2 linked regions of the Arabidopsis thaliana genome follow. The protein of the gene in region 1 interacts with the protein of each later gene in a biochemical or structural test. Each region holds a gene or a part of one and is shown in the gene's direction. Other genes may lie near its edges. The genes, in order: CP29 and DEG1.

Region 1 (4,995 bases):
AGAGGATCAAGTCTAGAGATTGAGTTCTACCATCTACGAAAACCGTTTATCATTCATTTTTAACTACTGTAAACATTTTCAACGGCAAAAAAATACACGAATTTCTATAAACTTCAGGGGATTAATCTTGATTTCGGCTCATGATCTATCTCGGTTATTACAAAAACAAAAAGGGCTCTATTATACTGCGTTTTTATTTGCTTGACTGTAGAAACTGCGATCTTATTATTTGGCAAAAGTAGTAATGCATATAAACAGTAGAAACAACAGATTCAGAATCTGATCTAAATGAAAGATGAATGAGATTATTATCACTTGACAGGAGCAAGAATGGTGTAGAGAAGGAGGAATGAGACAATGACGATGGCTCCAACAAGTGTGAACCTTGGACTTGTCCAGAGCATGAGATTGGATCTCTCTGTTCTTTTTATAGGATCGACTTCTTCCGACAAATCAAACTCCGATCTGGGAGGATTCCAAGTCACGTACTTGTCCACGTTGAATTGCGAGAACAATGACTTCTTGCTCTGCTTCTTGAAATTCTTCCACGCCTTGTCCCAGTCCGTCGACGCTTTATCACCACCACCACCTGCTATAAACCAAATAAAACCGAATTTAACCGATTATAATCTACCAACGAACATAAGCTTCGAGATCAGACTCTCACCGTTGGACTCGTTTCCCTTTCGAGGAGGTTCGTTGTTGGAGCAACGGAATCTAGAGGAAGATGAGAATCTAGGGGTTATCCGGATTAGATTGGAGGATTTTAAGCCGGAGATTCGAACAGTAATGTCCATTTTCCGATTTCGGTACGGACAAAATAAGAAGAAAAAGTATCTGACTGTTGTGTTCTTCTTCTCTTCTTCGATTCTCCGCCGGACAATGTTCCTTAGCCATTTTCAATCTCTTCTTACGTCTTCGCTAGCGACACGTGGCTATCAATGGGACCCATTCTTATTATGAATCTGAACCGGGATGGTTATTAAACGGTTAAATTCGGGTTTGGGAAATACCCGATCCCAGACTAGACATCTCCAGCTTAACCGGCTCTAATAAGTAACTCTTTGCTAATTTTATTCATTATCCAAACCTAAACCTCAGCAATGGAGAGCTAGGGTTTATCTCTCGGATCCATTGTCTCCTGAATACAGACGTGAACCGGAGAGGAGGCTTTGGGACAGAATTGATGATTTGGTTCGAGAAGATGGCATCTTCTGGTAGTATTGACTATTGAGCCTAATGCTACAACAGTTAGTCAGTTACATACTCTTCCTTAACTTAAGCCGGAACACACTATATTTGGAATCTTAATTGAAAATTTGTGCAAGGCTTACTCATGACTATAAATTCATTTTTGTTGCCTATTATTTTTACCTTTGATTTTCATTTCCAACAAAAAGGAAAAAAACAAACAAACAAAAAAAATCTGGAAAACAAGTGAAACTGTATCAATATTACATAAACCTCAAAATTATGGTATCAGTGGTTACTTAATAGTTAAGAACGAGTTGAAGATCCATACTGGAGCCTCAGTGTACAGTCTCTCTAGTTGCATTTTTTCCTTTGGCTTTTAGTAATGGCCTTATCTTCTCACTAGACCCACTCTCTTATTCCTTCTCTTTAATCTACACCGTCCATCCAATTTGGACGCACCAGATCTTATCACACATACCATTCACTTCATTGAAAAATTACTATATAACAGAAAAAAAAAACTCAATTGGTTTGAGTAACTCTTCTTTTAAGCTCCTCAAGCTTACTGTAAAAAAAAAAGTATATTTGAAATTTCTAAATTTTCAATATAATTATTTATTAATCTGTTTTCATTTCATTAGTAAACAGTAAACACAACATTTATATTTGTGTTGTCATATTTTCGTACTTAATGAATCAAACAATAAGATCAATGCTATTTTTATATTTTATGTAACAAAGTAACTTTTATTTTTACCAACTCTTTTGACTGACACAGATTTTAGTAGGTAAAAAAAAAATCCAAGTGGGAGATATTTCAAGTGGATAAAGATTTTTATTTTTTGCAAAGAAAAAACGAAAAGTTCCATTTTTTTTGCCAATAAATATCAAAAACTGGACTTGTTATCTCGCAGAACCCTTAAACCTTATCTCTTCACCACCAGCTTCTCAAAGCTTTAGCCTCGAGAGCAAAATTCTCTCAAGCTTTAGCCATGTCTGCCTCTGCTTCTTCCCTCTCTGCTTTCAATCCTAAATCCCTTCCTCTCTGCGTCTCCAGACCCGCTTCCGTCTCCGTCTTACCTCCTTCCCTCTCCTTCAAACTTCACTCCGACCACCTCGTCTCTATCTTCGCTTCCTCCGCCCTCAAATGCTCATCCCCCGCCGAGTACCCGTCGCGTTTCGTTAGAAACGTTGCTGTATCTTCGGATTTTGAGGTGGAGGAAGATGATATGTTCGCTGACGGTGACGATTCAGCGCCTGTGGAGCGTAACTCCTTCTCTCCTGACCTTAAGCTCTTTGTTGGTAACCTTTCTTTTAACGTTGATAGCGCTCAGCTTGCTCAGCTCTTTGAGAGCGCTGGAAATGTTGAGATGGTTGAGGTAAGATAAATTTAGGTTTCTGTTTTCAGATTTGGATTAATTATCTTTCTTAATTGGGTTTGAATCGTTTTGAGTAGAGTTAAAGTGAGAACATAGCTAAAGGTTTGAGATTGTTTTCATTTGTGATGAAATGAGTTTGATATTGTAGGTTATCTATGACAAAGTGACTGGCCGGAGCAGGGGTTTCGGATTTGTGACAATGTCAACCGCAGCGGAAGTTGAAGCAGCAGCTCAACAGTTCAATGGCTATGTAAGCAGATACTTGTGTTCGCTACTGTGTCTTTACTTGTTGATAAGAGTTTTGTGTGGACTTGTTTGTTTATTGAGTTGCTTGTATTGTTTCTTGTTCTTGGCTTGTGTGTAATGTGGAATTCCATGAATTGGATTGTATGAACGTTTGAGATAGAGAAATAGTGTTGTTTATCTTCTGTTTGGTTTGTGGAGACTTCGTGGTTGATGTTGTTTTATATTCTGCTGATAAGATGCATCTTCTTCTAGGTTGTTCGTGTTTCTCATTTGGGATATAAGTAGCCGATTTAGATTTGTACATTTGTTTTTGTCACATTGTCTTGTTGTTCATACCTTCAAGCTTGTCTTTTGGATTTCTTACATTACTACACTGGCTGTTTTCATTAATCCTGTTGATTTTTAACATTTCAGGAATTTGAAGGCAGACCTTTGAGAGTCAATGCTGGCCCTCCTCCACCTAAAAGAGAGGAATCCTTCTCCAGAGGACCAAGAAGTGGAGGTTACGGTTCTGAGCGTGGTGGAGGTTACGGTTCCGAGCGTGGTGGTGGTTATGGTTCCGAGCGTGGTGGTGGTTATGGTTCCGAGCGTGGTGGTGGATACGGTTCTCAACGTAGTGGTGGTGGTTACGGAGGGTCTCAACGTTCCAGTTATGGTTCGGGGTCAGGGTCCGGTTCGGGCTCAGGTTCAGGAAACCGTCTCTACGTGGGCAACCTTTCTTGGGGTGTTGATGACATGGCACTTGAGAACTTGTTTAACGAGCAAGGAAAGGTAGTTGAAGCTAGGGTTATCTACGACAGGGACAGCGGTAGATCCAAGGGTTTTGGATTTGTGACACTTAGCTCTTCCCAAGAGGTTCAGAAGGCGATCAATTCCTTGAATGGAGCAGTAAGTATCATCACTTCTCTTCTTTGCATAATAATTTATTCGATTGGTACTTCTTACTGTAAATATCAAATATCTAACTCATGTGTTACTTTCCTAAAGGATTTGGATGGAAGACAAATAAGAGTCTCAGAGGCTGAGGCTAGGCCACCAAGAGGCCAATTTTGAGCGGTCACACCTCTTTCATATTCTCAAAAAATGCAAATTCTGGAGGGTAAGAATCGCAATTCTCAGCCATGTTCTGCTATTTCCATTCTGAATCATATATTGCCTTGCTTAAGACAGTTGAATCTCGAATGTAACAGGTTCTTTGAAGCATATAGGGTTAGTGGAAAATGGCGGTTTCAGACAGTAACTAAAACTCACTGCTGGTGCACGCTAGGCTTTATCCGCCTTTGATGCATGAAGGTCGTTAAGGAATGGTCTTTTTTTGAGAAAGATAACAATTAGATTAAAGCAGAGAACCCATGTTTCTTGTCTGTTCGAATCCTGCGAGATTGGTTGTAGTTGAAGTTGCATTTTCTTCTTGTCTTTTTTGTTGGTATTTTGACACAATTTGGCTTTTTGGCATATGAGAGTGACTGTAGCAGTCTGTTTTATTTGATGTTCGTGATCTTCTTATGTTCTGAAAACCAGTTTTCCTAAAACTTAACAAATTTCGATATGGAACAAGAAATTTTCTGGAAGGGTTTGATTGTGTGAGGTTGTATTGTCAGTTCTCATATGAACCCAGTGCATATGCTCTGGGATTCAAAACTTTATAGTTTGGTGTAATCCGTATTATATATCCCAATTTTATTAAATGGGCCTAAACGCTAGTACAATGATGGATTATACCGCTAAGAGATTGAAATGGGCCTAAACTCTGAGATTGATTCGGACTATATTCTTCAAGCACGGCCCATTGACACCCCTTCTAATTTTCAACACTAATACCAATGTCAATACATATGGTGTGCGGATGTCACGTGACGATGGTATCTTCGACGTCATTAGGTGAAAAAAGAGAATATTTATATTATTGGTAGAACGAAAAGGTAAGAACAAATGGGGCATAGCAATGACCGAAAGCAGAGAAGAGAAACATTGAAGTGAAGAAATGGAAGATTATGTCTCAAAAATAAAGAACACAAGAACATAAATGTCACTTTGCTCTTTCACCATCATACTTCCACCACTCTTCCTGCCTACAAGTTAGGCCTTTTACTAACTCTTTTTTCGTTTTGTCTTCGTATATCAATCAACCACCATGACCCTATACACGTATGTTATAGATATGACGTATATTATT
Region 2 (5,778 bases), 9.5 Mb from region 1:
CTCATGGAACTTGACAAACGACCACATTATTTATCTAATGGCATATCATCCATTTTGTAGCATTTTTAGTCTTGCTGATTATGTTATCTTTCTTGTAAATGCAGTTTATTGCTTCGTTCTACCAACACGTAGTGGTCCAAAGACGGGTACAACTCTTTCAAACAAGTCCTTTTTCTGTGCTGCATCTTATACTAGTCTTCCATATATAAAGTTTAGCACATCTTTGGCTCAATATGAAATCGATTTAATGGACTTGGAACAGGTGCAAAATCCTTTCGAAGAAAACCAAGTAGTTGGAATCACAAACTACATTGATTTTGGTTTTGAGCTACAATCGAGGTAGTGAACATCTCTAAGTAAAAAAAAAAAAAACATTGTAGCTACTGTTTGTCTATACAGAAACAGAACTTTATATTTCGTCTTAATATTGAAGGGTTGATGATTCCAAGACGCCACCCAATGCCCCAGATTCTTTATTGCAGGTGGCTGCGTCTTGGCAGGCCAACAAGAACTTTTTGCTGAAGGTATAAAAAAATATTTACCTTATCGAGTTACTCAAAAAGAAACCATTTATCTCAAATTTTGCTCAGTATGTAACATTTTCAACTTTTGCAGGGTAAAGTCGGAGCTCATAGCTCAACATTGTCATTAGCATTCAAGTCGTGGTGGAAACCGTCTTTCGCATTCAATATTTCAGGTATGCGTTGATAAATAACCTGAATGCAGCGAAATCAAGATGAACATAGGTTCTTGGTATTTGAACATGTTTGGACTCATTTTTTATGCAGCAACAACTAATCATAGGACTGGAAATGTCCAATGTGGGTTCGGTCTACGTGTTGATAACTTAAGAGAAGCCAGGTCAGTCCATTTGTGACAAGTTTAAAATTAAATCAACCCTCTTTAGCTTCATGATCTTCTTCACATTGTTTTATTTTGTGAAATTGCAGTTACCAAAGAGCTGATCCAAACTTTGTAATGCTGACACCGAACAAAGAACATTTAGCTGAAGGGATTGTGTGGAAAATGGGGAAGAGACCAATGTATCAAGCCGATGTGGACGCAGAGAATTTTAGTGAGCTGCCAAAAGAACTTAGACCGTCCCAGAAGATTCTCTAAACTACACCATTAATCTTTTTGCACTTTTATCTAGTAGATTTAGATATCAACCAAGTCAAGTATTTAATAAGTTCGACGAAAGAAGAATTACTTAGGAATAACCATTTTTACTCTTATGGAGTACAAGTGTTTAGTGTTCAAAATTAGGAGTGGATTATCTGGTTTAAACTCTTAAGTTTGGTCTTTTTGGGCTTTTGATTTTTCGAAGTTCTTAAATGAAGCGAAATCCTGATTTGTTTTTGGACTTTTCATTCGGTTTGGAACGATATTTATATGGGATGATATATTACGGGTGAACAAATATCAAACAAAAACAAAACAAATAATATAAAGAAATACAACTTAAATTTAAAAATTTTAAAAAATCGATTATTGGTGTACTACGGGTTATGGATATAAGTAACAACATTCTTTATAATATTTACCATAATAAAGGTTACTGTTTAAATTTATTTTCAAAGTACAAAAAGTTTTCGATTCAATTTGATTCGGTAACAAAAAAAAGACCCGGTTTTGTTTATTCCAGATTCATAAGATCATAAAATAGTGGTTTACTAAACAAATTTCAATTCAATTTCGGTTCGATTCGGTTACGTATACAAAACCATAGCTTCGCATAGAAAAACCATTATTTTCAAAAATTAATATTTTTAATTACAAAAAAAAATGAAATAAAACAGAGACCACAATCCCATTGTCCCATGACCAGAAGAAGAAGAAGAAACTAAATGGCGACGACGACGAGTTGTTCGCTTCTCCTTTCTTCCACTCTCTTCCTTCACTCTCCTCCTTCTTCTCACCTCTCCTTCTTCAATCTCTCTTCTTCACGATCCTCTCCAATTTCTCTTTACCCAATCCGATCCAAACGCTATTTCCGAATCCTCTCGAAGCTTTCACTAAACGACAACAACAGAGACGACGATGATGATACTCTTCATTTTACTCCGTTCTCCGCCGTTAAACCTTTCTTCCTCCTCTGTACCTCCGTCGCGTTATCGTTTTCACTCTTCGCCGCTTCTCCCGCCGTTGAATCTGCCTCGGCGTTTGTAGTTAGTACTCCGAAGAAACTTCAAACTGATGAGCTCGCGACGGTTCGTTTGTTTCAAGAGAACACTCCTTCCGTTGTTTACATCACTAATCTCGCCGTGAGGTATCTGAATTTGATTTCTCTCTGGTGAATTTCGTTTTGAATTTCTTCTCTCCGTGATTTGAGGATTGGTCTAATGTTGTTTGAATTAGGCAGGACGCGTTTACATTGGACGTTCTTGAGGTACCTCAAGGCTCTGGTTCAGGATTTGTGTGGGATAAGCAAGGTCATATTGTTACCAATTACCATGTTATTCGTGGTGCTTCTGATCTCAGGTTAGTTATGTTGAAACTTTGAGAATCTGATTGATTTTTGATAGAAATTGGAATTAGTAATTGTTGTATTCTTAGTTTTATAATGAGTACATTGTTTCTTTGGATGGTTTCTTTTGATGTTTGTGTATGATAAGGAAGTTGGATGATGTATATAACAGGGTCACTCTTGCTGATCAAACAACATTTGATGCAAAAGTTGTTGGATTTGACCAAGATAAGGATGTTGCAGTATTACGTATTGATGCACCGAAAAACAAATTAAGACCTATACCTGTTGGAGTCTCTGCTGATCTGCTTGTTGGCCAGAAAGTCTTTGCCATTGGCAATCCAGTGAGTATACATCCTTAAAGTGATCATAGATTAAAGCTCTGCTTTGTGTTTTCTATTGCTAGCTAGGTCAATACTTATGTTTCTTGTTCATACGCACTAAAGCAAGAACTTTTTTGTGCAGTTTGGACTTGATCATACTCTCACAACTGGTGTTATAAGGTATGTTAAATTATATTTGTCTTCTCTTTTTTTTAAGTTGCATTCTACTCTAATCAGATGTGTTCTTCTCATAACGAACTCACAAATGAAAGTGTCAAAAAAGATGATTGGTACTTGAGGATACTGGATACATATATTTTCTCTTGCCCCTCTTCATGCCAAATGGCTATACTATTCCTTTTCTCTTATTAAAACTGTAGCATGTTTGTGCATTATGATTTGTACAGTGGTTTGCGAAGAGAAATTAGTTCTGCTGCAACTGGTCGTCCAATTCAAGATGTGATACAGACAGATGCAGCCATTAACCCTGGTAACAGCGGAGGACCTCTTCTAGATAGCTCAGGAACGTTAATTGGTATAAACACAGCCATTTATTCTCCTTCTGGTGCATCTTCTGGAGTGGGCTTTTCGATCCCAGTTGATACAGTGAGTTCTCTCTTCTTTTTTACCCATTGCAAATCTGATCAGATAGAGTCTTTCTCTATCATTGAATCCACTAACGGGAGACTAAAGTTGTTTCGAGCTCTGTTTCTCTCATGTTCAGGTTGGTGGTATCGTTGATCAGCTGGTGAGATTTGGTAAAGTCACCAGACCAATCTTAGGTATCAAATTCGCACCGGACCAATCTGTTGAGCAATTGGGAGTGAGCGGTGTGCTCGTCTTGGATGCTCCTCCAAGTGGTCCAGCCGGCAAAGCCGTAAGCTCTTCCTGTTTCCAAGTTTCCATATAACAGATATTTTCTCTATGTTTCACTCCGCGGTTTTAATATTGAAATGTGTAAAATTGGTTTTGTTCCACAGGGACTTCAGTCAACAAAACGTGATGGTTACGGGAGACTAGTACTAGGAGACATAATCACGTCGGTGAACGGTACAAAAGTCTCTAACGGGAGTGATCTGTACCGGATTCTCGATCAATGCAAAGTCGGCGATGAGGTAAACTCCGCAGTTTTTGTCAATTAGTTTCTGCATCCGAGATAGTTTTGACACTGATGATGTTGATTAGGTGACCGTAGAGGTTCTAAGAGGCGATCACAAGGAGAAAATCTCTGTAACTCTCGAACCAAAGCCGGACGAGTCTTAGAAACGTCGTTGAAAGAAGTAAATATACATAACGTGTAGAAAAAAAGTCCGGTGGGTTATATTTTTGTATATCAATTGTTCGGAAAATAGATCGTCCAATTGTGTACATAAAATCTGTTTATATTTGCATACATGCGAAAGGTAACCGGAAATAACCAAAATTGCAATGTCTTCAAACGGTCTTATGGTTTGGATTGGTTTTTAATTTCGGTTCAGACATTGGGAGTGACGAGTCTGACACCTAGAAAAAATCAAAATGAGAAAAATGAAAACCGAATTTCGTCGGCTTAATGGACAGTTACCTCATCTTAGCAATGATGCATAGTACTGATTTTGCGGCTTTGTAGTACCAAATTTTTTTTTCAACACTCTCTCGGATGCATAGTACTGATTTTGCAATGATGCATAGTACTGATTTTGCGGCTTTGTAGTACCAAAATAAAATTTCATGATTGTGCGGCTTAGCAATGATACATATTACATAGTACATTAGTACTGATTTTGGACCTTTATTTTAGTCGAGACAATTCTGAACTTACGGATTCCGAAGTTAACAAAGTCCTTTTATAGCTTTTATTCAGTTCCGAACATGGTTACTTTTTATACATGAAACTTCCTAAAATTTTACATCTACAAACATTCGAGTTTGAAAATTTAATGGTTTGATTTTCGACTCATTACCAAGAATTTCTTTTTGATATTATTCTTCATGATTTATCAAAAGATGTACGTGTATTATATGGTTATGTCTTGAGTTCATGTCATGTGTTCGAATCTTTATAATATAGTCTTACACGGTTTAGGTTATTTGTTCAATTGTTAAGTCATTTTACGGTCCCTATTTCACATTATGTTAGTTTTTTAAAATATTTAAAACAACGTACTGTAGTTTTGATAAATTATTGAGTTTTTTTATTAAGTTGTGAACGCATGCTCTCGTTGAGAGATCATTTACTCGAGCTAAGTTATGACTTGGATGGTTGTGTTGCAGGTGAAAGGTAGCTTTGCAAAAAAAAAAAAAGTTTGAGGTTATGTCTGCATGTTTCCCTGTATACAAACTCAACCATTTGTATTTTATTTTTTGGGTGCAAAAACTATAATTTACGTAGTTTTTGAACACTTTCATAACATCAAATATTACCCACGTGATAAGTGAAAACGAACCGAATATGTAATGATCAGCGAAGGTCCCTACGTGGAATTTAATATTTGTGTCATTCTTTTTAAGCAACACCAACAAGACACTGACATGGGTTGGTATTTATAAATTTGCAACGTAAAGTATATGTAGTAAGATTGTATCTTCTATGGTTGGGACTGTATCTAAACCAAACCGGTTTAATAGGGTATATATTTTTTTTGTCTTTGTCTTTGAATTTGTGGGGTCATAAATCACGGGCATCTTCATTTGGAAATGTATTCATAGTAATGTATATAAACTACTTTCGAGCCGACTTGGTAATGATTACGAGAATCCTCTGCTTTTGGAGTAAATTTCTAATTTAATATGTACGTGTATCTAGATATATATACGACGACATGTCGTTACCCAAATGCTTCGTTAGAGGATAGCTTGTTGAGAACTTGACTATGCCAATCATATATGTTTGTTTGGCTTTATGTAGCCCCAATATTAACAACTTAATACTAAAAAACCTAATAACAAAAACATTGAGTAAAAAACTACAGTACTTATAAGTAAAAAGAATAATGATAGTAGCTACTT

Evidence for each region.
Region 2: the proteins of CP29 (region 1) and DEG1 form a complex in vitro, tested with the Arabidopsis thaliana proteins (one study listed by BioGRID).

Annotation. Positions count from the first base shown.
Region 1 is NC_003074.8:19,818,615-19,823,609, reverse strand, and holds CP29 (chloroplast RNA-binding protein 29), read left to right. Parts: upstream 1-2,090; 5' UTR 2,091-2,186; coding exon 2,187-2,573; intron 2,574-2,721; coding exon 2,722-2,886; intron 2,887-3,233; coding exon 3,234-3,707; intron 3,708-3,806; coding exon 3,807-3,872; 3' UTR 3,873-3,918; exon of another isoform or gene 3,919-3,942; intron 3,943-4,009; 3' UTR 4,010-4,374; downstream 4,375-4,995. Other genes in the region: AT3G53470 (2,3-bisphosphoglycerate-independent phosphoglycerate mutase), read right to left, coding at 312-592, 668-797. UniProt on the Arabidopsis thaliana protein: Stabilizes specific chloroplast mRNAs. Required for normal chloroplast development under cold stress conditions by stabilizing transcripts of numerous mRNAs under these conditions.
Region 2 is NC_003074.8:10,364,934-10,370,711, reverse strand, and holds DEG1 (DegP protease 1), read left to right. Parts: upstream 1-1,767; 5' UTR 1,768-1,847; coding exon 1,848-2,269; intron 2,270-2,358; coding exon 2,359-2,481; intron 2,482-2,639; coding exon 2,640-2,811; intron 2,812-2,932; coding exon 2,933-2,970; intron 2,971-3,197; coding exon 3,198-3,396; intron 3,397-3,514; coding exon 3,515-3,667; intron 3,668-3,770; coding exon 3,771-3,905; intron 3,906-3,975; coding exon 3,976-4,053; 3' UTR 4,054-4,103; exon of another isoform or gene 4,104-4,363; intron 4,364-5,043; 3' UTR 5,044-5,060; downstream 5,061-5,778. Other genes in the region: AT3G27930 (beta-galactosidase), read left to right, coding at 105-146, 263-339, 434-524, 616-697, 789-861, 951-1,119. UniProt on the Arabidopsis thaliana protein: Serine protease that is required at high temperature. May be involved in the degradation of damaged proteins. In vivo, can degrade beta-casein.